Styela clava: one gene and its partners. The protein of the gene in region 4 binds, or shares a complex with, the protein of the main gene of each other region. Links are inferred from orthologs where the notes say so. Each region holds a gene or a part of one and is shown on either strand. Other genes may lie near its edges.

Region 1 (7,699 bases), on a different chromosome or scaffold from region 4:
TTTCGTTGCTGAATTTCTAATTCCTTTTCTTTCTTGATATCCCCAAGCTGACGCTGTAATTGTTTGATTTTTCTTCTGCCTTGTTCCTCTCTTAAAAAAATAAATCACAAAAAAAGTTTGAATTGAAAGTTAAGAATATTCCAATCATGCATTTCAGAGCATGTTAGTATTGAATAAGTCAAAAAATCAAGAAAATTAGTATTCTTTAAAAAAATGTGAATATTTTTTGGTCAAACATTTTACATTAGAAATAAATATATTTATACTGACATTTACTTCAAGGTGATAGATTTGAACAGCAATATGATTACAATAGCTGAAAAGCACATATTAAAGTATCCTTTTGATGGTGAAGAATGAAATTATTTGATGAGCTGCATAAACTTTGAAATAAGTGAATATATTCCATATATACATATCATATTAGAAATTGGCCATAAATTGAAATTGTTACATTAATATTGATGACGATTATTAGTCTCGCCCTTAATCAATAACATACTTTATAATTTTTTGTTGAAGAGCAGCTTTTCTCTCTTTTTCAGCAATTACAGCATCCAGAAGTGGTTGGTAATCAAAAGATTGCAGTAAACTTTGATGTGTCAATGTCAAAACATCTTCACAAAATTGCCTGAGAGAAAAACAAACTAAAATCAAAATGTTCAATAAAAATGAAAATACACAGATAGTCATTTAAATTTTGGAAACGAAACCTAATAACTTCACATAGCTCTACGTGCTAAGTGTTAGGAATATGCATGTCATTGCACCTCTGATTACCTTTCATTAGCTCGCAGGTTCGAATCCCACGAGGGACAATTATGTCTAGGAAAATTGCTGGACTCCTGGCCACCATAGAATGGTTGATTCACGTGACTGCTGGTCGGTTACGGCTTTCTCCACTACTAAAGCCATGCTTTTGAAAACAATTACCTGGCTAACTTATTCTGAAACAGTTCGCCATCTTATCGACTTTTCTATATAAATACTATTATTTGCTATATTTGTATTAAGCAAATCTCCAAAGACAAGTAGATACAATTTTGCACATCCAATTTTATACATCCATGGGTTATATAGTGAGTAATTAGGACCATGGCTACAAGTTAAGCATAAATATTATTAGTTTCACCTGTCCTTTTGTATTTTCACAAGATTGTCACTCGTCAGTGGGCTCTGTTTTAGTGACTGACTCACAAATCGATTGCTGGATGTCAGTGAACCTGTTAAGTTTTTTATCTGCAAAAATATTCAAAGGGGGATTAAATAAAAAAATAATAAATCGAACGCTTCATAAAATACCAAATTCAAAATGATCCCTTGCACGCTAAACCAGTGGTTCTCAAACAGTGGGGCGCACCTCACAAGGGAGACGTAGACAATTTTTTGAGTGGCGTGAAACTGATTAAAAATAAAAACATTTGTTATATTTGATCTTGCTCGCCTTCTTTTGGATATTTACATTTCTTCATTGTTTAGATATTGTGGAGAGCTAGAGTTCTTGTATCTTAATTATCCTCAGTGTTTTCGTTATTTACATTCCATCCACGTATTTTCATACTTTTACCTTACTATCTGTCATTTGTAGCTTATTGTTAGCTAGTTATTTTTGAGGTGGGGCGTCAGACTTGACAAATTCTAAAAAGAGGGTGTGGCTTAAAAAAGTTTGAGAACCTCTGCTTTAAACAAAGTCATAAAATTGTCACGTACATGCATGAGGCAATTTATGTATAGTGAAATTTTTATTTTTATTATACCCATTGAACCGTACATGAGATAGGCGTGATCAAATATCAGTTTCATTTTTCTATTTGTACCATTTCAGGTTAAAAGATAGTTGCTCATATATATTCTAACATACTTGATACGTGTGATGAGATCTAAGTTCTATTTTTCTATTCGTACCATTTCAGGTTAAAAGATAGTTGCTCATATATATTCTAACACAGTGTTTTTCAACCGGGGTGCCGCGGCACACCGGTGTGCCGTACAATACTGTCAGGGGTACCGTGGGAAATTCTCCAAATTGTGTGTCTATGCGGTGTAGCGCCCGACAGAGTAATCATGTAGTACTGTTCTATATCAGGTGTCAGCGCAGGTGGCAATTTGACTTTTTGTCATTGTTTTTATTTGATTACTATTCAAGATGTCCAATCCAACATCTTTCTTCAATGTTAAAAAAGCTTATATGAACAATATTACACTTATATTGTGAATATTAGGTCCTTATTTCACATTTTCAGCTGGTGGGATTTTCTCAATGAAAAAAGTGTGCCTTGGCTCGAAAAAAGTTGAAAAACACTGTTCTAACATACTTGATTTGATCCAACAAATGAGTTTCCACCGCCATCATTTCGTGACGATAAAATTGTGTCAAACTTTGATTCAATTTCACGTTGACTGTTGAGAACATTTTTCACATCTTTACTAACAATCTGCAAAAAATACATTCAGTAAATGACTTCTTATGAGCAGTTAACAGTATGGATATTCACAATTATTTTGAAATGAGCAAAACCTGAACTATATATGCCACATTTCCTAAAAAAGTAAGGACAATTTGTTTCACAAGCAAGATATATAGGCCACAATTTTGAATTGTTCGTACAATATCTATCTCCCAGAAGGAACAAAAAAGAAAGCATGTTTTTGATGAAAATGTGCCTGCAAAAAGTCAAAAAAACATGGAGTAACGGTACCAGCAATGGTATATTTGTACAGCACTACAAAACACAATAAACTCAGTAACTCACTTCCTTTGCGTCACTTTGGCCCTGATAAGAAACAGGTAGAATTCTTCCAAGAATAGAAAGTTGATCAATACAGTCTTCCATGACTGATGCATGATTAGCAGCGGTTGCGTGAGTGAACGCCATTAGTTCTGTAGTTCCTTGTAACAACTTCCAGATTGTCAATTTGTTGTTCTGTGTTACTTCACCGTATATTAATGGTTTTGAAATGTAAATTATTACATTATCAAATTTTGTTAGATTTCATTTTTTTTTTGAACTGTGCAATAAAAGTAAATACATACTTTAAAATATAGACTACTCAAGAGTTGGTATGACCAAATCATATAATCATAACACACAGGGCAATCCTGTCAATACAGCAATAGCCATATTTTCACAATATACGTACCAGATAACATGCATGAGAGATTTGACCACAAAACCTGATTTTAGTACTGGAATATGAATAAAATGGCACCGTGGTGAATATCGAACACCTATGGCATGTATAATCGCCTGGCTAAATCTATTTAAGTACGTAACTTATATCTAAATAATGATTAAAAGGAAAACAACATCAATCTCCTCGACCAAGCGTGTAATTTCGTCATGGTTACAGATAAAGGCAAATGGAAGTGCGCGGAGTCGAGATAATTTAAACCAATCCAAACCGATCGAAAACAGCTTGTCCCTTCAAATTCACGTAGTCAGTATTTTTTGCGAATCAAACTTAAATACTTACTAATTAATTTAGAAAAAATGTAAAATGAAAAAAACAGCATGGGAATGTGTGCAATATATAAGGTAAAGCAAAAATTTCGGGTCGAAATAAACTTATACAAAAAAAAACAGCCTCTTAGACTCCAAACTGAATTGCGCAAAATTATGTTATGATCGTCGTGATAGTTTTGTGACAACCGTAACCGCCGCAAAATACTTATAATTCGACGCGTAACACACAGATATTATGATAAGAACATGATCCACATGCTTACGGTATATTAGTTGATCCTCTGAAATCGAAATCTGTTCCGTCATCAGAGTATTTTTTATACAGCCTGGTTGAACTCTTTATCGAAATTTGAAACAAATTGGCCATGTCTTCGAGAACTATATCGTATTTTTATATGTGCCAAACTACGCGTAAAATATTGTTTCCCGTCACTTTCATTTTTGTCCATTTATCTTTTTATAGAAAAGGTTATGTGAATTAAATATAATACAACCGGACACAACATAAAGAAAAATAGCGAGTAAGATTGTTGCCTGTTGGCTGGAAATATTGTAAATAAATGATGGCTCAATATAGATGAAAATAGTTGTTTGTATGCAGGATTAAAGTTTAATGCTGGTAAAGTTATTGACATGTGAAGGACATCTTAAAGTTCGTCTGATGGATTTCATAACCAATGAAAACTTTACTTACCGACATGAACAAGATTTTTTAAGATCTTGATATTTATTAGTTCTTCAGCTCACACGCACATGAAATTAAAAATTATCCATAATTTTTGTCGCAATTTTCTCGTATACAGTGGCATTGTTAAACGACCACACCAATTTCTCATATATATTTTACAATATATTGTCGAAAAGGTATTGGAGAAAAAGTCGCTCATAGCCCCATTTGCCTTTTATCCACGCGTTCTCTGTGGAATATTTACGGTTAATTGTGCAGGTTAACACAAATTTGTGATAGCATTGGCGCAGTGAGATTTTAAATTTGTGCTCTCAAATAATTTGCTGCTTCTGGAAAACAATGTTTTATGCTGCTATATTCTACGTAGCATTGCTATCATTTATTTGTGAAGTAGACAGTGAATGGGGTGAGCACTTTTTATTCATTATATATTCATTTTTTATTCATAGCCAGCTCATTTTGCACGCTTTGCTCGTGACCACAATTCCCAATTTAAAAATTGTTATTCGTTCAGAAAGTGTTATTTTTAAATGTATCACCATCCACTAAAACCATATTAATGATGATTACAGTCAAGAACAATCATGATTAGCCGTAAAGACCGTTTTACAAAAATAATATCGTGTCCCTATTCTTTTACCGAAAAAGTACTTCTCTTGTTGAAAGCAATGTTATTCAAACGCAAAAGATTCGTTCAAGTTACATGGGTGCTTTGAAATTAGTTTTGCCTGTGAAACTTGTTTAAAGATATATATATGGTAGCACTGAAATAGCCTTTTACATTGTTTTTAGCTCTGTCTTTTGAAGATTTTTTCGACAGAGGAGGTAACCTACCAGGTTGGTGTATACTGTATAGGATACAATTACGTACCTGGTTTACAAACAACTTATAACATTCGTCAGACCAAATTTACTTCAAAATATTTGAACAAAAGTCCACGAACTCAAAATAATTTGTCCGTACTACGAATATATACCGCAGTACCTATTGCGCATTTGGCGCTCCAGAAGTATGTGCACCAAGATGGCGCACAACTTGAACCCTAACCTGGTACACATACTATGTTCAGGATGTGCGCCATCTTGGTGCACATACTTCTGGAGGTCCGCGCATTTTATAATTCTTCCTTCCCTGCCCAGAGTTGATAGATTCAAATATATGACTGAGTGAAAAACTGAGTGAGATTTCAGTGGTCGTATAATTCCAAAATGTATTCGTATTTAAGGCGAATTTTTTTCGCAGCTACAAGAAGTTTCCTTTAATTTCCCCGACTGCATCAACAGCAAGAGTGGTGTTGTTACGCAAACAGCCTATTTGAAGAATCCTGCTCAAAGAAATCACATTTGATTAAATATTAGGTAGATTAGGAATGGTAGGCGTATTTTATCGTAACAACCCATCTTAAACGCCAACTTATTATGTCCAAGTGGACTTTGGAAGAACATTGAAAATTTCGATTTGTATTTTTAGACTCGCATTTCCTGGATTGGTTTCAAGGCCCCCTCGACCGAATATTGGATGGCAGAGACATTGAAGGTTAGTTTAGACCAAGGGTGGCTGGCCAACCTTTTTTCGCCCGCGATCGACTAAAATCTTCAAAAAAGCTCGCGATCGACTGACTGATCGGTAATAAGGTCATAAACAAAAATGTACGAATACTGAATACGCAGATAACCTCACACACGCATACAAAAATTCCACCGATGCCAATAAGCTCGGCTCTGCGGGTGCATTCTCAATGAAATTGCCACAAAAATTTGCATTTTTTATACTACTATTCAATATGTTAATTTGATTATATAATTGTAAAAACTTTTTCATCCCTAGTTTTAATTAAAACGAAGCAAAGAAATGACTGTACGCCAATGCAGAGCTACGTTTGTAGAAACTTATTTGATGCCTCGTTTGCATCTTATATTGGAAACGAAACAGCAGCAAAATTCACACTAAAGTTAATTGTGTTTGTACATAATTTGGCATGTAGCTACATGTTTTTTTTTATGTGAGATGTTTTCTGTGTGCCGTTTTTACGCATAACAGATGCCCAGCACTGCATTTCATTATGCAAATATAGTATGGCATCATTTTACGTTCCACCCATTTCAATTTTTGGCCAGCACTGCATTTGATAGTTTTTCTTCATTTAAATTGTTTTCTGTGCGCCTTTTTACCTAGAAGCGTAGTGATTTCCCGCCATTGGGTTAAATGATTTTTAGTTTTTCCCATGGAGGTATGAGCCCCCGGTCCAGTAACTAAATCCAATTTTGGTAACTGTCTATTACTCAATAATGAAGCATTGCCTGATTCATTATTGAGTAATTACCATAAACACTATTTAAACTTTATTCCAACTTTTAGAATCCATTTTATCAACAAAAAAAAAGACAACACCACACAACTCACTGTTGTGCTGTCTTAGTCACGGGTATTTCCGGGTGATTGACATCAACTCACTGTTTTAGGCGTCGCGATGACAAAGCTGTTAAAGCGTCCGACCTAATATATATTATACTGAGCTTGTTCGGGTCTTTCACTCTAAAAAAAGCCTTTCACATGCGTCCACTGATATTTGAGGAATTACTATTATTTGATAAATCTTTCCGGTTCGGCATTGTCGACCCAATTTATTACACCCTGAGTAAGGTGGGGCAGAGGCGTGTCAAACTTTTCTGCTGCCCGGGACAAATTTCTGATGAGGATGCCCATTATATCAAACTTCAATTTGTGAGATAAACAAATTATAGATGTTGTTGCACATGAGAATAAATAAATTGAACATGGCAAAGGTAATCTGCAATGTTAACACATTTTAGTCTATTCAAGGCTATAGCGCCTCGTATCATCGGTTGCTTGTAAATTGCCTTTTTCGGAGCGAAGGATGTGAATGACCGCCGTATAAAAATGGATAATCTGACTGAAAGTCAATCGGTTCAATGAATTGATTGAAAACTGCTGTTAGTTTTATCCCGATTCCCACTTGTTACGACTCGAAATGATTATAGGCAGGCCATAACGTCTTTATTTCCAAGATTTGTTTTTATTTTGAAGAGATTTGTCTTACAAAATATTTTTGTCCTTATTTCTATGAAACGTCTACTACTGAGCTACCATAGGCTGGTGCCACTGCTACCGTTGTAAATCTATCACACTACTCTTGGAGTGAGACAATAACTTTCACACAGTGCAGAAAATGTTGTAGGATCGTTTGCCTGTCAAAACACGCGATATTCTGCATGTTCATTTCTAAAACATGGCAGTAGGGAAACTTGCATTTGTTACGTAATAATATACTCTATTGCTCTTGTCCATACTCAATTACTGCATGTGTACTTCGTATTTTGCGCTTGTACAGTACTATATTCTTCCTGTTTTGAAACACACAACAGTCGCAGTATAAAACTGGTTCAACGCAATTTTCTGGGCTATGTTATTGAATTTACTCAACATCAGACGCGATCGACTACTCGCGACCGGTCAATCGCAATCGATGTGTTGGCCACCTGGTGTAGATCAAAGTTCGTAGTTTGTGCGTAAAGATTTCAGACG
Region 2 (6,999 bases), on a different chromosome or scaffold from region 4:
TGGTGTCATAAATAACACCCTGCATGAGGTAAAAGGCTCATGATATATAGACAGCAATACCTATCTGTAAACTTGTTACAATATGCCAGACTCAAGTATTGCATGTTCAGACAACATCTTGCCAATGTACGCAATGTGCCATCGGTTATTTCAGTGTACGAGAGATTGAGATACAGAAGCACTGGACATCCTTCAGCAATTGCTCTTATAATTTCATCCTGTAGAAAAAATCATTATTCACACAAATGTAGGTTAAAATTAAGGGCTCACACACTACTAAATAATATACAATGCATTACATTGACTCCTTTGCATTCTGAAATGTTTATATCCTGAAGATTTCTGCATTCAGCAATTGCTTTGAAGGCAGGCCAATGCACAGCAAAACATTGTCGAAGATTAAGATGTACAAGGTATGGACGACTCTTCTGTAAGCACTGAATAATGGCTCTATCATTCACTCTGAAATCAAATATAAATAATGTTAAAAATGTTATCAATATACCTAGATTATACTTCCATATTGAAAAATGTCCCTCACCATATTTAAAAAAAAAGATGTTTTAGGTTAGTACATTTTTGAAGGCAGCCAGCGTTAATTTCAAATTCAAAAATAGAGACCAATGAATGTCTCGCAACTGTGTCTTAAGACACCAACAATGTCCTGTAAAAGTATCCGCTTTTTATTTATTTATCAGGCAGACGAAGTTACACATTTTGAAACAAATATACATACCTGCATACTAAAACCTTAAAGTAATCACCTGAAGACAGCACCAATAGTCACCTAACTTGATGCTTGAGTGTAAATAAAAAGTATCTCACTTACTTATTTTTAATTCTACTGAAGTTAAGATGACTCCATAATGAAGGTGCTCCAGTGATAACTTTCCATGCTCTACAAACTTTTGCACATCTACTAAGTTCAATCAAGTTCAGGTTACTGAATATTTGTATAGCACATCTTCGTGGAAGCAAAGACACTTCATCTCTAGTAGAAAAATTAATCTTTAAAATGTTGGCGTTGGCTTGAGTGTTTTTCTTTTTAAGTTAACACATTCAAACATTACCTAAATGTATCACTAGGCAGATCCTTGTCTCCAGTTTCGACACCGAATTCTTCATCCAATTCTCCACGTTCTAGACGTTCAAAATATTCTCTAGTCTTACGTGCGTCTACAGCAACCGATCTCCAAGCTCGAAAAACAAGCCGACAAACTGATTCATTCCAAACTTTTGAAATCATATCAAAACCACCTAAAAAATTTTTTAAAATAATATAGAACTACAAAATAGTAAAGCTCCAATATATGGTTACCGCGAGAAAAAAGCCAGTATCTAGATAAAATCCTCAAAGTAAAAGTCATTGCTTTTAATTATGAATCCTATGGATAGATTTGCCGAAATTTTTCCCAGTAATTGGGCTATTTTATTTCAGTTGGATAAAAATAGATATATTTTACTATTTTGTCTCTTTTTCACGTAACATTTCCAAGTATGCCATTTAGAAAATGATATTCTCATCATTCTTGTCCTGTGGTATCTGAAATAAAGTTCTAAAATCTTGATATTGAAAAAAAAACAGTTTAAAGTAAACCAAATACTAATATAAAAAATAATATCTGTTGTTTATTTTTCATGTATAAATGGCAAGTTTAGGCTTCAAATTACACATGACTGTCCTTAAAATAATTTAAATACAGCATTTGGCTCGATAATTCAAGTATGTCCAAAGTTGTACATACTGTCTGGCTTCTTTGACTTTATTTCGAATCATATTTCGATGATTTTTCTTGTCCAAGTAGTATTTAAGCCATCCTTTGAAACATATCTTTTGTAATCTGCCATAATAATGGCTATAGGCTGCTTTCAGCATATCTGGTGATGGCTAAAATTATGAATTGCACTGTTAGTTGACGTTTCACTTTGAATAAAAGAAGAAGAAATATTTTAAAAAAATTTACGGTTAACTTGTCATAAAACTTGAAAATCTCATCCAAGTAACTTTCTGCCATTTGTTTTATCTTTGGCTGACATTCAAATGGAACGAACATATCCCTGAAATGAAGAGCAAAAGTTAGTGGTCAAAAACGCAATGTTAAATGAAGATTTAACATCATATGCAAACTTATTTTGATGCAGGTCCTACCATTACATACAAATTATAATCCTTCACCTACCATGTCATTGTATCCAGACCTTGATCGCGTATTTTTTTAATGCTTTCAACAACCCATTTGTAAGGATCCTCTGGACATGCTATCATCAAACCAGTAAGGATACACTGCGAAAAATGAAAGGTTTGTAATAAAATTACAATCATTAAATATCTAAACTAGTATTACAGCATTGAAGGATAGGATAGGATTTACATATTCATCCAGGGGGTGAAAAAAACCGATAAGACGACTCAATCATATGGCGAACCACGACCTACGGAGATGCCGTGGTGAGCGTATTCCTAACGCTTAGCACGATGAGCCACACCGCCGAGCACAATAGGAATGCTATTGACTGGGTGATTAGCGCAGATTCTGAGTGTTTGGAACTAGGGTACTTTTCATTATTTATTTACTTTATATTAGCAAAACTGGGCTGTATTTTTAGCAGTATTTTTATCTTTGTTGCAACCTGAGAAAAAATATGAAAAAAAATCCTAAATCTGAAAATTGTGTAGTATTGTTATCACCTCATATACTTCGGGAAGTTGGTGTACTTTAAGATATTCTTTTAGTGCGGGATCGATCCCTTGAAGTGACGCCATTGCCTTTATTTCGCACCAAGAGAAACTTAGTAGATATAGACTAGCAAAATCATTTACAGAAAAAGAAATCAGAACGTCTCGCGGGAATTTTGCTGCTTCACCGTCTCCTTAGAAACATATCAGGTCAGCGTCGCGGGTCACTGATTCTTTCGCGTGACTAAATATGGTCCCAAATATTTTGTTTTTCTCCAAACAATCCCGCTGTATATTTATATTTAATCCTCTAAAACTTAACTCACTCTCTGCTATGACACGTTGCTGTAATGATTGCTAAAAGAATAAAATAACCATTCATAGTCGTTTGCGGCGCAGTGTATTCATTGCTTATTTATAGCCACAGAGAATGATGGCCCTGTATATTATAGCGATTACCCCGTGCAAGATTTTCATTTTACATGTGGTTAGTACAAAGAGTTAGTACAAACTATTTTGGACATAATCATAGTTCGTCTGTTTGATTTTTACTCGTTGAAGATGAAATTGAAATAAAATCTAACCATCAACTGTCGTCCGATGGCAGTTTGGATAGGATTTTCATATTTATGGGAATAGTTGAACAATTCAGAGTTCCAGATGCGTGGAAAATCGTAATAAATGTTCATTTTTATATCCCGTTTCTGTACATGTTTAACTGTAATTTATGACATATTTTACACTTTTATTTGTGCATCATTCACTAATTTCTTTATCTTATTTATATTTTATGTACCGGTAATCCATTCGCATTTACCCTGGTACTATATTATGCCATGATGTGCTTATATATAGCATAAACACAAGGGTCGGGAGCCTAGATGAACCCAACCGGTCCTGCACACCGACTCGCACAAAACAATAATCAATCACTGTTATTACTGCTGAAATATTTTCTTTAATATATTATGTTTATATTAGTGTTGATTTTGTTTTTGCGGCAATGATTCTCTCTCTTTATTTCTATTTTATTCGAAAAGTACATTTTTACTTCTATCCAAGTGCATTTTCACTCTTTAAACAACATAACAGGACAGAAATTTGTTTTATTTTTGTTAAGTAGGTTTCGGCACAAGTGCACAAACCAATCATTCCTGCATAAACATTGGCAAATTTGACGCGAGACAAGGAACGCATGACTCAGCCTAAAAGGTTAAGGATAAAAATGTGATCGACTCCGATCACCGCTGCACTAAGAGGAAGTACCCGTCTTGACCGTTTTCTTCCCAGCAGATCAGCTGGTAACTTTTGTGTCAAGCGAGCTGTGCTAAATGGGGCAATTACGCCATGAATAACTCGTTCATAAGGCTTCACTTTAATCTGATTTCGAAGCACCAATTTAATGGCACATGATACAGTAATAGCACGAAGTTATTCAAACGTTAGTATTAATCATAAATCTGAAAGAATTTTATTGCAACAGTAAATTACAATAATATTTTGAGTATGACATATTTTTTTCTTTTTGTTCAAGTAGTTCCTAAATGAGCATAGCGTTGTCAGGTTCTGTTCAATTAAATTTTGATATTTGGTACCGGTAGTGGTTGAAACATTTTACTATGTCTGGTCGTAAAATTCAAAGTGATGCAACTGCAGTGCCAAAAATGTATACTGGGGGAAAATCAACTAAACAATATGTTGAGGACACAGTAAGAGAAGCTATGGCTGAAGTTAATAGGGCAACAGGACATCTTGGAACTGTTAATCCTGGAAAAGTTTCATATAACACTTCAGGAGGTGGAAGTGCCATCAACCAATTCAATATTGTGGGAGGTACTATTGGTCAAGCGGCAATTGGTAACAGAGGTGACACTGTTTTCAACGAAGAGAAAAAAGTTTTCCAAAAAGGTGCCTCAAACACTAAATACAACATTAGTGGAGGAAATTTCAATCAAGCAAACATTGGTGGAACTTCTCACTACAATAACAAAGAGTGCGAAATTGGATCTGGTGGTGGTGGTAAAGGAGTTTCATTGTCAGCTGAAGATTTGACCCTAAGCATTTTGGACAAAGGAGTTACAGCTGAGCAGTTTGTCTTGCTCCTTGAAAGGAAATATTCCTTGGCGAATATTGCTTTTGCGATGCCCAGTGATCCAGAACTCAAAAATCGTATGGTTGATGCTCTTCTTGTGAAGTGATTACCAAATCAGACTTTCTCTTGTAAATAGTTATCATAGTTTTTTTTTCAAACATAAATCAAGCAATCGAATGTGCTTTATCATCAACAATGTGTTTTTATTTTAAATGAAACTTCATGTTCATTTTAATTTAAATGTTTCAAATATAATTTTACTTTGTTTATGCATGTTTAGTGATACTGAACATCAATCTTTACCACATAAATAGGGTCATACTTCATGAGAGGATGATTTTGGATGTCATGAGAAAGATTATCTCTATAAATATGTATAGTTTGCCAGCTGTCTTAACTCTATCAGTAATGATTGATTCTCTTTGGTCAGGGATATGCAAGGCCCGGTACACTTGGGTGTGCGGCAATTACGACTATGGTTTTCATGGATATAAATTTCCATTGAAAATAATGTCATAATGACCCCGATTGCCACATTGTGCTTCTTATTATTATATAAATGTTAGCCTAGCTGTTGAACTAGCTTTTGTAAATAAACTGTTTTTTATTCATAGCTTTTCATATTAAGTTTTTGAGCCTCTGGCCCACTCAGAAAAGTAATTGCCCACCCCTGTCTTTAATGTTATCTAAAGAATGGCATCCAGTAAATGTCTAAGCTTGATTGTATGTAATGCACAGCTGAAGTCAATTGAGTACTATATTTTATTGTATCATGTACAGAAAATTATTATGCAATGAATTTCTTGCATTAAATAAAGAACGAGTTGTAACAGAATGGAGAATTTGTTTTATATGAACTTTCATGAGTTTTTATTATTGCTCTCATCTTTTATAATTGATCAATAATCTTGTATTTTTATGCATAGAATGATGTATTCAAAAGTATATGTTCCTGTCCTAAAAAAAAATCTCATCTCATCTATAATTGCTAAATTAAAATAATAAACTATTTCTAATATACAATATTTTCTACATTTATAATAGAGTGGAAAATTTGCATGGAATTGTTACAGCACATAACTTTATAAAGATATTTTTAACTGCTGCGCCTGTGGGCAATTTTACTATTGATTATGATATGTTGTAAAAAAGAATTATTATGGATTATTTTAAAATTCTAGAAATAACCATATCAAACTAAGTAACTAACTAATACTGAATGTGTTTGAATATTCAATTTGTTATGGAATGAACATTTACTGTGGAATATGTAACTTGGTTGTCTATATACAATTTTTATTCATCTTTTTGTATTATAATTAGATTTAGAATACATAACACTATATACAATAGCAATGTCTCACAAAAAACAGCATCAACGGAGGAAAAACTTCAAAAACAAAAATAAATATGAAACGCCGCAACTTGCAATGGATGAAGAGGATTTACATGAACCAAGAGGCACGACGAGCAATTTTACAATAGCATGCCCCCTTGCAATGTGGGACCTGGGACACTGTGACCCGAAAAAATGTACAGGAAGAAAGCTTGCTCGTAAAGGAGCAGTTAGATTACTGAAATTACAACAAAGATTCGCTGGAGTAATATTAAGCCCGATGGCTACTGAATATATCAGTGCCGGAGATAAAGACAAAGTATTAGCTCATGGCATAGCTGTAATTGATTGTTCATGGGCAAGGTTGCAAGACACTCCATTTTCAAAAATGAAAGGAGGTCACTTGAGACTTTTACCATACTTGGTTGCAACGAATCCAATAAATTATGGCAAGCCCTGTAGGTTGTCATGTGTGGAGGCATATGCAGCTACACTTTATATTGTTGGGCTTGAAGATAGTGCTAAATCTGTTTTGAAACCTTTTAAATGGGGTCCCAACTTTTTTACATTGAATGAGGAACTTTTGGAGTTATATCAGAGTTGTGAAAGTTCAAAAAGTATCGAGACAGCTGAACAAAATTGGCTACAAAATGAAAGAGATGAACTTAATGCTAAAAGTGAAGAACGGGATCCTTTTGATATAGATTTAAGTGTTGAACACTGTAATCCCAACCATACATCCCTGCCACCAGATGAAGATTCTGATTCTTCCTGTAATTCATCTGAAGAAGTTTGATGTCTGAATAGATTCTATAGTAGCAGATTGTTAGGATAGCAAATTTAGAATAAAAGTTCAAAATAATCATACTTTTTTTGATATAAAATGTTGTTTTG
Region 3 (6,034 bases), on a different chromosome or scaffold from region 4:
AATGAAATTATCTGAAATATGACTTTTTAAAATTGAAAGAATATTCATACTAATTCAATACAAATGTTCACAAGGGTCAAAGGTCGGCAAAACATTCATTATACATTACTGCTGTGCACTAATTATTTGCCAGCTGAAATGTAAAAATAATTATGATGCAACAAAACATCAATTAATAACTAAGTTTCCCGAGGAAACCAGACTTTTCGAACCATAATTTTATTTTAACAACAGGAACGCAATGAACTGTCCAACAACCGGAACGCCGTTGGTATATGAAGCTTCAAGGCCTATCCAAGCCAGATTTGACATATCATATAAAATATACATACCAAATTATGTCTAATTTCAACTGAAACATCATGAACAGCTTTTGCTATTACGTCGTCGACTATTTTGAATGCTTCCTCATCAAATTCAGCAGGATCTTCATCACTCCATCTTACAGGCATTTTTTAGTCACAACAACTATACAGTAGTATCCCTAAAACCTTTAAACCTATCAATATGGTACTATGAAATTAATGATAACAAGGTAAAAATAGTGAGACACAAATGAAAGTCGCACAATTCACAACACAGTGATGAAAATGATTTATGAAAACTACAGGATTACATTAAAATATACCTAGTTCTCCAGTAAGCTATTGAATATAATCATCAACAAATATGAGCAGGTAGTCTAATCCAATGATCAGATTTTAGAATTCATATAAGTTTTATTGTCTATCATTGAAGGCAAGCGGATTTAAAATGTTCTCCCGTATGACCTTGTAAGCAATTCTTTCAACAGAACAAATTATCTGAATTTATTATCAAATATCCAGAGGGTTCAGACCGAACTCTAGAAGAGTAATTTTAGTTTGTTCCTGTATTTTAATTCCTTCTTGATCCCATTTATCCTTAGCTTCATCAATTTTTCCAATAAGTGAATCAAGCGAAGCCGTAAGGACTCCTTCGTATGATATTTCCATTTCATCGATTCTTTTTTCCAATATTCTGATTGTTTCGTTTTTTTCCTGTTCCATTTCTTCTTTTTCTCGTTTCGTTGTTTCAAGCTCTTGTCTTGCATTCGCTACTTGTTGTCTTAGATGTTCTACTTCTGTGTTTAGTTCTCGCATTCTAATGTCCATATCCGTGTGCATCGTTTTATATTGTCGAGTCAACTCTGCACTGACATCTTTTTGTTCCAATTTCTGCTCCTCAAGATTTTCCTCCATTTCATGAAGACGATTCTTCCAATCTGATGCTTGGGCTTGTGATCTCCGAGCAATTTCATTTCGATGAGCGAGATGTTCTTTCAGAATTTCAATTTCTCTAACAGTCTTTTTAAATTTGTCTTCTTCTTTTGCTACATCCTTCTTTTTGCCCTTCTTTCCTTTCTTTCCCTTGCCCTTTTTCTTTTTTGGTGGCATTTTATTTATTTACTATAATAGAATTTGATAGTGCTTGAATAAATAAGAAGTAAAATAAAGCATAATGTATATCAGGGGTCGGGAACCCATGGCTCGCGAGCCATATATGGCTCTTTTGATGGCGGCATAAATATGGCTCCCAGAAAAATCTAATATTGTAAGGCTAAGCTTACAATTGTTAACGAGTTTTCAAACCTATTTATAGCCAAATTTGCCAAGACGTTTGAAAACGTGCGCCCAGCGCATGTCTATGTTATTTGAGAGAATTACCAGACAAGCATTGTGACAAAACTAGGGGATTCTGGAATCTATTTTGTGACGCCACAAAGTGTTATAGTTTCGGAGCTATAGAGAAAAGCTTTTCGTCCGTTTGTACGTACTAATTACAGTATTTGTCATATTTAAATCAAACTAGTACAGAGATGCCTAAACGAAAGAAGGGTGATGGTGATGTGTATCGTAGATTTCAACTTGGCTGCATGTGAGCAGCCGTTGAAGCATCAGAAGTCACATTAAATGTATATTGACATTGTATTTGTTGACTTTTGAGTAAAATTTCAGGCCTGAAATGCTGTATGGCTCGCACGGAAATGCAATTGAAAATATGTACCTTTTATGGCTCTCTTGACCAAAAAGGTTCTCGACCCCTGATGTATATGATATATGGTAAAATCATGACAAAAAATCAGGCTGTGAGATTAGTTATTGCTAAAAATATTTGATGGTCTAATCACACTTTTGTGTACCTATAAAGCGTTAACAACTTATCTATCTATCTTAACTATCTAACAATATGAGATTAATTGTAACCAAAGTATTTCACATTACAAAAATATTATTCATTTGCAATATTTCAGTCATTTTCAATCCAAATATGGTTTCATGATGAGTCAACATAGGCTTTCCATTTTTTTTTGTATTGGCAGCAGTCAGTTCTTTTTGTCGGCTTTCCTCTCCTCCGGGATAAATATGTAAATCCTCCTCCTCCTCCTAATATACCTTAATACAGCTGTTCATTTCTCTCTGTCACGCATTAATACCGTACACATATAAAATTCCATTCCAGTTGTTATTATTATTTCTTATACATATAGAAACAAGTCATAGCTTAAAATAGTTACTAGTTCGCTTACTACATACCGGTAGCCTTGTACGAGCGGCAGAACACAAAATAAAACTCTCAGCCGAACGAAGCGTGTCGCGTTGTCATGGAGTTCTGATACACTTGATATTTTCAAGAATAATAATCCGGCCCTTGACCCCTTTGACAGTTTTCGTGACCTGGCTTCAATGACATTTATTGTCATTGCTGGCACCAACGACTAACATACGCCTGGCACTTTCCAAACGAGTTTACTTGTTTCATAACTATTTTTCATCACTACTACTAAACTGGAACGCTCCAGAAGACAAAACGACCAATGGTATTTTGATTTATAAGGTACCGGTACCAAAATTTCGGAAACACATCTAAAACATACAAACAGATAGCGACTCCAATATTTACAAGTTACAACCATGTCTGAAAATCTGTCTTGAGTACCGGTACCAGTATGTAAAGGGACACAACCATTGCGTCATGTTCCCAATCATGCTGTGCCGAATGCACTACAGGAGTGGTGACTCCTCTACGGCCCATGGGCCGGGGCCACATGGGCCGTGGCCCATAGCTTGATGGGCCGCGGCCCCATCAGGAAAAATTCAATTATCTTAACAAAATTTTCAATTTTTACCAAATTGTCAATATTCTAACCAAAAAAACATACTCCTGTAGTATGTGTACCAGGTTAGGGTTAGGACAAAAAAAATTCAGATTTTTTACATTATAGTTCTATTATGAGTTCGGGGACTGTCTGTGTTAGCCAAGTGAATAGTTTCTTTACACAACTTGATGGGCCCCGGCCCATGGGCCGCAGAGGAGTCACCACTCCCACTCCGAATGCATACCGGTATCCGATGGAAATGACCTGCGACAAAATTTGATTTTGGTAACTTGAAATTCTATAGAGGTAGTCTCATTAAGCTTGCTTAATTAGTAGGTACCGCTAGTAGCCTAGTTCTGTTGTAGTCAGCAATCAGCATATTCAGATATTACTGTATTACCGGTACCACAGTCAGGCAGTTGGATTATAAGAAGGATTTACAGATTTCTGGATTTATTAGACCCTATAATTTGTATTTGGCTTTTATCCAGTACCGGTACCGCACCATGTTCTTATATCTAATCATAATATTATTTTATAACTGAATAAAAGCTGTAAATGTCATCTGTATAAACATTTCTCAAAATATTTCGCAATGATTTTTCAGATATCCACAATCAAACAAAACTGGACCCTGTCACCAAACAGAATGCTCACTTGTTAAGTGTTAATAATATTCCATATCTGAAACAATTGAATCGTAATTCTGTAATTATTTCTTCCCAGTGATTTTCACTTACAGACTTAGCAGTGGCATACAAGGCCTTTTGGCGTAAAATACATTAGTGATTTGTACTCCTGGACTGAATAATAATAATTTCCTCTTTTTTCAACAAATATTATTTGAACCATATCTCTTTTTATCTTTGCAGGTATTGTTTTGTATATAGCAAGGGTATTCACAGAAAGAGATCATGAATGATGAAGAGATAAGTGAATATTTTTTGTCGGAATTACGAAACAGTACTCAATCATCTCCCGCAGTTGCTGCAATCAAAACTCTAATAGAATATCTGAGAAAGGATCATGCTGAAACATTATCAGGATTACGAGATAATCTAAAAAGTGCAATAGAAGTGCTTGTGAGGACTGACTGCACAGGAATTACACCTATCTTGTCTGGATCGGAACTGTTTCTTCGCTTTATCACCCTATCTTCTTTAGAACACTCAGACTTCGATAAAGTGAAGGATATTCTAATAAGCCGTGGTGAAATGTTCCTGCAAAAAATATCATCCAGCAGACAAAAAATTGCCAGACTTGGGTTGCCATTTTTGAATGATGGTATCAAAGTTCTTGTTCATTCATATTCAAGAGTAGTTTTGAACATGTTAATCAAAGCTATGGAAGCTCAAAAGCGTTTCACTGTTTTTGTCACTGAATCACGACCAGACATGAGTGGTAATATAATGGCGGAAAAATTAAGAGAACATGGCATCCCAGTGACTGTAATTCTTGACTCAGCTGCTGGTTATGTTATGGAAAAAATAGACCTTGTATTGATTGGTGCTGAAGGTGTGGTAGAAAACGGTGGGATTATGAACAAGATAGGAAGTTACCAAATTGCTGTTTGTGCAAAGGCACATAATAAACCCTTGTATGTTGCTGCCGAGAGCATTAAATTCGTTCGCCTTTATCCATTAAATCAGCAAGATGTACCGAATGAAATAAAATACAAAGCATCAACAATCAAGTCCAAGAATCTTGACCAAGAACATCCTAATGTAGACTACACTCCTCCATCTTATATCACTTTACTAATAACTGATTTGGGTGTCCTGACACCTTCTGCTGTAAGTGATGAACTTATCAAACTATACTTATAAAGTTGTAATGGTTGGAGGTTGAATATTCGCATCTGGGAGATACCACCAATACAGAATGGTGGCCAGTATTCCGAGAGTCATAAAAATTTTTGTCAAGATCTTGCAAGTCTGCATGGAATGCTATATGGCCATGTTCAGGTCATTTTAATAACACATCAAAGGTGCAATGTGGCATATCAATATTGGTGATAATTATTCGGATTCTAATTTTATTTTTAATTGGCGCGGTTTTGATTGAAGTTTTTGTTGTATGATCTGTTATATCACAGCAAAATTATTACTTTATAAAATGAATTTCAGAGGACTATAAGAGTACTTTCGAATGTCTTGCTTTGGTTTAGGAGAATTTGCTCAGAGTTGAGTCATTCATCTGAGCAAAATTGAAGGAGACCACTGAAATTCCAGCTTTCAGCTATTCCAGTCGCGAATGAATTAATAATCCAGAGAAAAGAATTAATAATGGGAAGAAAAATATTTGTTCCAGAATGCGGGACCCCCAAGTAAAGTTAATGATTATTGCCACATCGTCAGAATACAGATGTTTTTTTTATTCAGAAATGGAAAATTCTTTAGCTCTGCGTGCCTATGGGACATATCCGTTGATATGTCGGGTAGAATTATATTTGGTGAAGATGTGAGTTCTATCAAGTCATATCGACTTTTTTTCTACACATCAATTCACGTACTGGGTTGCAGTGTGGAAAAATTTGGTTTACCCATAATGTAATTTATAATCAGATGCCATGCCCATACCTCAAAATTCATTGCTCTTGCCGGCTGTATTTTGAACTATACAATGTTACTGAACACAAATAAAATCTCAGTATCTGTATTTACAGAGAGTAAAAAATTCATCTCCACAAACAAATATGAACAAGTGTCTCGCATTTAAAAAACTCTATCATTTGCTTTTGTTTTATATTAAATCTGCAATGAATCGAATCTATATTTGTGCATTTAAAAAGGGAGAAACAATCTCAATTTGAGAACTTCGGGGGGGTTTAGGATGAATGTACATCAGCATTCCAACAAGCAAGGCAGAACATATAAAAAAGTTACACCTGCAATTCAGGTCATCTGTTCAGTCACC
Region 4 (7,556 bases):
GGATAAGTTAGCCTGTTATTAATTTTTTCGGGATTGCGGTCACCAGGGCAAACCCAGGGGGCATTAGTGGGTCGCTCTTTTGAAATGTAAAAAAAAATTTTTTATGTATCATACATAGCAATTTTTTAGCTTGAAATGCTTTTTAGACTAGCAAAACTCTTGAACGAATTCTCATTCATTTTTTTCAGGTTTTACTGGAGACATTCGATACAATCATGTCAAAATTGGATAAAGTATTTCGTAGTTCTGCATCTTCATCTTCATTCAGCAATATAGTGAGTGGATATTATAGTTTTAACCTTTCATTTGGTCTGTCACATCATTTATTGATGACTTTGTATTTACTTTCTATCTATAATATATTTTGAATTTGCATTGTGATTCTGGATTTATATATTTTATCTCTACGAACGCAGTCAAAAATTTGACTCAATCTGATAAATACAGTTTTGTCTGTTTGCCGTTTATTTTTTTTGCAATTGTAGTTTTGAAGGCCAACTTATTTACTTGTCAAACACTATCTCGAAACAAGTCATGTTCGGGTCGTGGCAAATGATATCCGAATAAAACTATGAACATTGACGAGAATATTTGTGTAGAAAAATGTTATTGCTATATACCAATATTGAAGAGAAAGAAAAACATTTTCAATACAAGGAGTTAACTTGTTAATTGTTATAAATATCAGATTAATACGTCATAGGTAATTGAATTTGTTTATGGTTTCCAGCATAAAATTAGTTCCTTAGAAAAGTGTCAATCTTTACTGTTTATGTGAACTTTAATTATGCACTTCCTTTTTGCTTATGGAGTCTACCTTTCATGGCTCAATATGTATGGACATATGATATTCAATGCTAATTTCATATATTGGGCCTGGCTTGAATATGTATTGATGAATGGTAACATATTTGCCAAAACTTTTTTTTTTCACAGCACGCAGACTGCATTCTTCAATGTGCATCTCTTTTGCTTTCAATTCCAATTTCCTATCCGAGATACTTCTATCAGAGCTTACAAACAACTACAATAAAGGTATGAGAAATATTTTAAATCGTTCTCGACTTGTTCTATGTCGAGTAAACAATTTGATTTACATGTCACTACATACAAAAGATAATATTGGTAGTTAATATGAAAAATAATGAACCTGTAATTAATTAGTTTTCATATTATGTTCTATGCTCATATCTTGCATTTTTAAAAAAAAAAAAAATTTTTTTTCAAAAATAGATGTTTTGCGATTTCTACTTGTGTAAGTTAATGTGCGATGTATTGTTTTGTATATAACCATTTTTTTTTAAATTTGATGAATACTGACATGTTTTTTAAAATTTTTCTAAGCTTGCTATATCACCAAGTCAGCGATCGCCTAATGATCCGGTTACTGTTGATGTGTGTGAGAGGTTAGCTCTCAAAATTGAAGGTGTGATAAGACATGGTGGACCTGGTGGTACTACATTGGGAGAAGCAGACAAAGCAACAAGCAAGAGTGGTTTTGGTAATAATGGAAAAGAAAAACGTTGTGCATTTCGGCATGTTTCTGAAATCAAATTATCACTAAGAACTAATCAAGCTCAACAAGGAAGGCAAGCATCTATGAATGTCAAGGTGAGTTTTGTCAACTTTTTGAGTGGTCATGATGTCTTAACCAATTTGCTTGGACTGAACTTGGACTAAATCATGTATATTTTTTTTTCATTAACAATGAATTGGTTCACTGTTTTTAGTTAAATTACTTCTGCACTATTGGTACTCACCAATACAGTGAGTGATACTTTTTTAATCAAAAGTCATGGGAAATTTGCGATGTCTAATTATTTTTGAAGTAATTTTACATAACAAAGGTAATACTTGTACCCAGTGGTGGGATTCAAATTCTTTGTCACCCGGTTCCATCACACAAATTCAGCCGGTTCTGTTACAAAAAATCATGTTTTTTTCAGTAATGCTAACCGGTTCGCTGATCTCATAAAATTCTGTGAGACGGATCTATAGAATCGGTGCGAACCGGCTGAATACCACTACTGCTTATACCTGAGATGTCAGCTAGTGGTCAAAATAAATCATAACCAGTAACCATCTAAAGTCATTCAGTCGATTAACCAACCCCAGTGAAGCGTTATAAGAGGCAGTAAATGTCGCCTACATGATTCCTCCAAGGCAAAAAAATTATTTTAGTCATCAATACATGTATACTAACTTATACTTCATAACATTCCAGATCAGATCAAAGGACTGAACATATCAGAAATAACAGTTTATTTTTAGTCCATACCAAAAAAAATGACTGATACCGACTTACATCGGTACTTCTTTAACTTGTATATGTACAATTCTATTTTACATTCGTTTTCTTAGAATAAAAAAGTTCTTGTTTCAAAATAATTTTCGTAAAGTGATCTTCAATCATTTCTAAACAAATTTAACAAAGAATAACATTTTTACAGCTCTCTGATTCCGGAAATTTTCTTGAAGAAACAGTGAAACCACACAATGATTATTTCAGCACACAATTTTTACTCTCTTTTCCTGCTTTGGGTGAGAAACCATCTTCATCTACTTTGTGCTGACTTAAATTCTCAGTTTATAGTTGAAAAATATTCACAGACCCTTCAATTTGTTTTACAGTTAATCAACCCTCAAAATAAAAAATTAGTCAAAAATTTTATTGGACACCTTGTCGAATTGAAAATATTACGATAGACCAGAATATTCCAATCATATTATGACAATTTTTTTAAATTTTTTTATTGAGGGTAAGAGTGTTGATTTATGTTGTAATGGCCTGCCTGACTTGTACTGTTTTAGCAGACAACTAATCTGGGCTATGTCAGTAGTGATATGAGCAGTGGGATTAAGGGGGTTTGCACAGGTTTGTGTGAGCCTGTTATTGGAATGTAAAGATAATCGACAATCCTGTTTTCTTGTTATTATAGCTATAAGTTCGGCATGGTTTTCTAAAATGAGTGAAATAAGAGAACCTGTTCCTGAAATTTCGAATCATTTCATATAAGCTATATGATTTTGTATATCAGCAAATAGTTGCATGGGAAATCTGTGCCAGCTATTGTCCTCACAGCAGCAGAGAATTATATTTGACACTTTGACAGCCTTTTCTTAATGTACTTATGTCAATACTTTCATATGTACAATATAAAAATTTGCAAAACTGTCATAAATGCATAATTGTATTTCACTTGTTTTCTAATCAAGGCAATCATAATATCATTGTTGAATCGAGTTTGATAGACGAACATGGAATGTGTTGGAAGTGTGGACCAACTGAGTCATTGACAGTACGAAGTTTGGATGATTCTATAAGAGTTAAAAATCTGATTCAACAGAGTCAGGGATCTCATAAATAGTCTTCATCTATTGTTGGAAAAACTAGCCTGTCTTTGCTAAACTATTGTGTTGCGACATCTTACGATATCTACTGCAATAAACTAATACAACAATTTGTTTTGTATGTCTGAATGAATTGAAGAGATGAAGTCAAACCTATTTTTGTAGGCTACAGCACCAGAAATCAAATACTTTGCACTACAGTCTTTAATGTCTGTACTGTAACAAGTCTATGATATTTTCATATAGTGCTCTGATTACACTGTGTGGGTTCGGATCCTGTGAGGTATAATTATGTGCGAGAGGATTGCTGGACTCCTCGTTTCCGTAGGGTGGTTCATGTAACTGCTGGTCGGTTACGGCTTCCTCCACTATCAAGTTCATGCATCTGAAACAAATAATTGGCTAATTAACCCCGTACCCAACATGGACTGGTAACTGAACAAGAGGCTGCGATTTCCCATATGATTAAGCTGTCTTATCGGCTTTCTTATTCTGTGTGAAATCTATATATCCTATGCCCTAGAATGGGTTCCTATGATTCCAATATCTCGTTTTAAGATGTTCGTTTTTAAAGTCTTTGTTTCGATCATCAGTTTTGTGGTTTTACTGTTTAATAAAGGATTTTCATAGCTTTAACAGGGGAGAGGTGGGTGATAAGATGAATTATTTATTTGCTTAATCGAATAATGACAGTCTACCAGTTGATTGCTCCACATGGCGAAAGAAGGCCTAATATTAGTATACCAATGATTATGTTTCCACAGATTTCCTGCGAACTTTTACAAAATAATCGTAGATGCAATGAAAATGGTATTCCTAATGCGCAGGACAATGTAGTTCCACTTCGTGTTTTACAACCTCTTAAACAACTACAATTTAGTAAATGGATAGATTTTGTGTCTACCGATCTTGTGTATATATTTAAAATATTGAAGTAACTTTTAGTCGTATGTCGAGATATGGGGAGCATGATATCCGACTGCAATACATGGTCTCGCTTATTTAACATTGAATATTGTTTGTTTCAGGCGGCAATAGATCATAACAAAATTATTTTAAATGTTGCGAAGAAACGTATCATGAGCCATGAACATTTATGCAAACATATTTGAAGTTTTAATATCGTATCAAAAATTATCCGGATTAGTCCCAACAGACGCCTGTTACTACCACTACTAGCCGATGATTGTTATGGCGACCGTCATGAAACGCTGACCCTGGCATCAACAAAATATTACGAATAAGATGGCGCTTATGGAATGAGCCCTTTATGTTGTTACTCCAGATTTTTCTGTAATATTGGTTTATACGACTGGCTACTGAGTATATTATCTGATTTGTAGCATCGAAAATTCTAGCGCAATGACTGATTCCGGGGAAAAAGAATCGGCAGGTAAAACAAGTTTCACTGAAAAGCTTTGATCGCAACAAATTATGTAATCCAGTAATCGAACTTGATTTAATCTTACACTATTGCTGGTAAATTTTCACGGTCTGACTGTCCTAGTACCTATATACCGTAAAACTAGATTTTGTGGCTTTTGCATATTGATCTACAGATCTACAGGATCTAGTAGGCATGCTTAATTACGGTACCGGTAGTCTATGAGATGAAGCAGGTACGGTACCAGTGGTCTACATCAGCAATCCTCTGGATTAATACCATATGGAAACTCAACACTGTATGGCATGTCTGCATGCATGCTTGGTGGTGTGGCAAAATTTGCTAAGCGTTGTGAATACGCTCGCCACCACACCTCCGATCATCATGCTGCCATGCGTGGGTTTGCAGCTTCGAATACTTTGGGGGATAATTATGTGAAAGAAGATTGCTGGAATCCTTGTCACCGTAGGGTGGTTCACATAAATAACTTTTGGTCAATTACAGCTTGCTCTGCCATTAGAAGTCCATAATATGATAAAATAAATAACTGGCTAACTACAAACCAGATGAGAGGCCGCAGTACAGCATATGATCGATCAAGCCGTCCAATCGGCTTTACTCTTCTCAGGATAAATATGTAAATTCTATTCTAGATGAAAAGTGTATTAGATTTTGACAATTTTACCACATAAGTGTTTGAAACAAGGAGCATTCAAATTTTTCGAAGCATCACACACATTATAGAAAACTTTATTTCCTTAATTTGCTGTAGTGAATGTATATATTTTAAGTTAATGTATCTTATAATTTACTGCATATTTTTCGCTATTGCATTTGGAAGTTGAATCCTTTGCCAAACTATTACAAACATGTATATTTAGTGAAAATTATTGAAATATATGTTTAGATTACTGACTTAATTTATATTTCAGAGTCTATGCTGGCAGAAATTGAGAAGAAAATTACAGATGCTTTTGAAATCTTTGACCACGAAGCAAACAAAACAGTTGATGTTAGAGAAATCGGAACAATTGTGAGATCACTAGGATGTTGCCCATCAGAAGGTACTAGTGTAGTTTACTTATGTTTGTATCTTGTATAATTTTTTCCAGTTTCCGTTATTTAAGCTAATAGCCTGTCTACAATTCTGTAATAAAATGTTAGGTAACTATTGGCATATGTGTCGCAGTGGTATGATTTATTTTTGCAAATGTTTCAGACATTCAACTATCAGTAGAGGTTGCGCGTGACTAACTGTCTCAATCTAACGTTACAGAAATACATTTGTGTTAGTGTGCAGCAAGACTCTTGAATTGCATAGTTTTAGACATTGTTGTGATTTAATAAACCGACGATTTGTCATAATGGATGTACAAACTGCTCGGCTCACATTGTTCAACATAACTGTGATATACTTTAGGGATCAATTCAAGCAGTATGATTATTACATTTTGAATAGTCATCAGTGTTCTATTTTCAATTCAGTATGCTAATGCTAATTTATAGAGCTTGCTTTACTTTATACATAATTGTTTGTATGACTTCATGCAAGCTGTCACTTTAATATATTAGCTACTGTGATGAAAGAAATTTACTCTCACATTGTGTGTGAAGTGGTATGTATGAGCCGACAACTGATATCACTGATCTTAAAAAAAACTGAACCTTAATTTCTAACATTCAATGCAAAGTTAAATTGACTGTGATGTCAGGATCTTAATTTTACATTGAATATCACAAATTTATATTAATTGAAACTATGTTGATATAGGAGAGTTGCATGATATGTTGGCTGAGATAGAAGAAGAGGAACCAACAGGTTACATACGCTTTGAGAAATTTTTACCTATGATGACACATGTTTTGATGGAACGGAGGTATGTTGTCGTCGTTAAAAAGATATTCGCTACTTTGTTTCTGGTGACCCCACATAGAATGGATATGCAATAATCTTAAATGTTGCCATTATATATTGATTGTATTTTTTGTTTTTTGACATATAATTGCATCATTAAATTTATCTGTTTTTTTCAGCTATTATATATGTTAATTAGATATTGTTATATTCAGCAACAGAACTATGTTGAACATGAGAGATGGGTGTAAAAAGAGTTTTAATTCAACTTTAATGTTTATTGTCCAACTCCGCGTTATTCCTTGCATCGAGTCTTGTAATGAAGTTCAACAGTTGCGTCATTGTTTTGGATGATATTTGACAAAAAGTTCTTTTAGATCATAGAAATCACAATACAGCATTTGCATGTATTATCAATCATGCTTAAGGTAAAGTAATTTCCCTAGCGACGCAAGTATAAAACAAATATCGCAAAGTATTCTATTTCCACCTCCAGATATAAACCTTCACCTGAAGATCAGTTGCTCAGGGCATTTGAAGTTCTTGATCAGGATAAGAAAGGATGCTTGTCTCAGGAAGAAATCACAAAGTATATGACTGAAGAAGGAGAACCTTTTACACAAGAAGAAATGGACGAATTTCTCTCTGCTGCCGTTGATCCTGATCGTGGCGTTGTTTTATACAAAGACTATGTTTCTTTAATGGCTATTGAGGAAACTTGATTAAATTATAGCGTAAGCTAAAACTACTCCATATTGTAAACCAAAGTATTAAACCTCCAAGTCATTTGTTATTAAAAAAATGATTTAATAAAATTGAAGCTGTTTACTCTTGTTGGCCTTCATAAAAAGGTACTTATTGCTGAATGTTCATAACTTGATGGAATGTATAAATTTTAAATTAACCACATGACTTCCTCAGACATCTTGAAGTTCAACATAAACGGTCAATTTCTAAACAATAGGC

What was found.
Region 1: dynein regulatory complex protein 8-like (region 4) and dynein regulatory complex protein 9-like share a complex: the UniProt entries of both Homo sapiens proteins name them as parts of the nexin-dynein regulatory complex. The link is inferred for Styela clava from reciprocal best matches to the Homo sapiens genes DRC8 and DRC9.
Region 2: dynein regulatory complex protein 8-like (region 4) and F-box and leucine-rich repeat protein 13-like share a complex: the UniProt entries of both Homo sapiens proteins name them as parts of the nexin-dynein regulatory complex. The link is inferred for Styela clava from reciprocal best matches to the Homo sapiens genes DRC8 and FBXL13.
Region 3: dynein regulatory complex protein 8-like (region 4) and dynein regulatory complex protein 12-like share a complex: the UniProt entries of both Homo sapiens proteins name them as parts of the nexin-dynein regulatory complex. The link is inferred for Styela clava from reciprocal best matches to the Homo sapiens genes DRC8 and DRC12.

The regions. Positions count from the first base shown.
Region 1 is NC_135256.1:11,518,907-11,526,605, reverse strand, and holds the start of dynein regulatory complex protein 9-like, read right to left. Parts: upstream 3,006-7,699; 5' UTR 2,877-3,005; coding exon 2,754-2,876; intron 2,436-2,753; coding exon 2,316-2,435; intron 1,240-2,315; coding exon 1,133-1,239; intron 632-1,132; coding exon 503-631; intron 91-502; coding exon 1-90. Other genes in the region: uncharacterized protein LOC120327970, read left to right, coding at 4,492-4,558, 5,624-5,689. UniProt on the Homo sapiens protein: Component of the nexin-dynein regulatory complex (N-DRC), a key regulator of ciliary/flagellar motility which maintains the alignment and integrity of the distal axoneme and regulates microtubule sliding in motile axonemes.
Region 2 is NC_135258.1:12,568,056-12,575,054, forward strand, and holds the start of F-box and leucine-rich repeat protein 13-like, read right to left. Parts: upstream 3,011-6,999; 5' UTR 2,765-3,010; coding exon 2,690-2,764; intron 2,285-2,689; coding exon 2,181-2,284; intron 2,059-2,180; coding exon 1,965-2,058; intron 1,889-1,964; coding exon 1,746-1,888; intron 1,544-1,745; coding exon 1,464-1,543; intron 1,258-1,463; coding exon 1,071-1,257; intron 992-1,070; coding exon 830-991; intron 463-829; coding exon 300-462; intron 219-299; coding exon 61-218; intron 1-60. Other genes in the region: uncharacterized protein LOC120338966, read left to right, coding at 4,297-4,875; 18S rRNA aminocarboxypropyltransferase-like, read left to right, coding at 6,125-6,901. UniProt on the Homo sapiens protein: Substrate-recognition component of the SCF (SKP1-CUL1-F-box protein)-type E3 ubiquitin ligase complex.
Region 3 is NC_135258.1:9,395,682-9,401,715, forward strand, and holds dynein regulatory complex protein 12-like, read right to left. Parts: upstream 1,476-6,034; 5' UTR 1,416-1,475; coding exon 816-1,415; 3' UTR 514-815; downstream 1-513. Other genes in the region: A-kinase anchor protein 14-like, read right to left, coding at 333-452; translation initiation factor eIF2B subunit alpha-like, read left to right, coding at 4,033-4,944. UniProt on the Homo sapiens protein: Component of the nexin-dynein regulatory complex (N-DRC), a key regulator of ciliary/flagellar motility which maintains the alignment and integrity of the distal axoneme and regulates microtubule sliding in motile axonemes.
Region 4 is NC_135253.1:7,972,869-7,980,424, forward strand, and holds the start of dynein regulatory complex protein 8-like, read left to right. Parts: upstream 1-4,555; 5' UTR 4,556-4,713; coding exon 4,714-4,744; intron 4,745-5,667; coding exon 5,668-5,799; intron 5,800-6,506; coding exon 6,507-6,612; intron 6,613-7,086; coding exon 7,087-7,312; 3' UTR 7,313-7,556. Other genes in the region: integrator complex subunit 7-like, read left to right, coding at 189-275, 937-1,035, 1,345-1,611, 2,451-2,541, 3,217-3,368. UniProt on the Homo sapiens protein: Component of the nexin-dynein regulatory complex (N-DRC), a key regulator of ciliary/flagellar motility which maintains the alignment and integrity of the distal axoneme and regulates microtubule sliding in motile axonemes.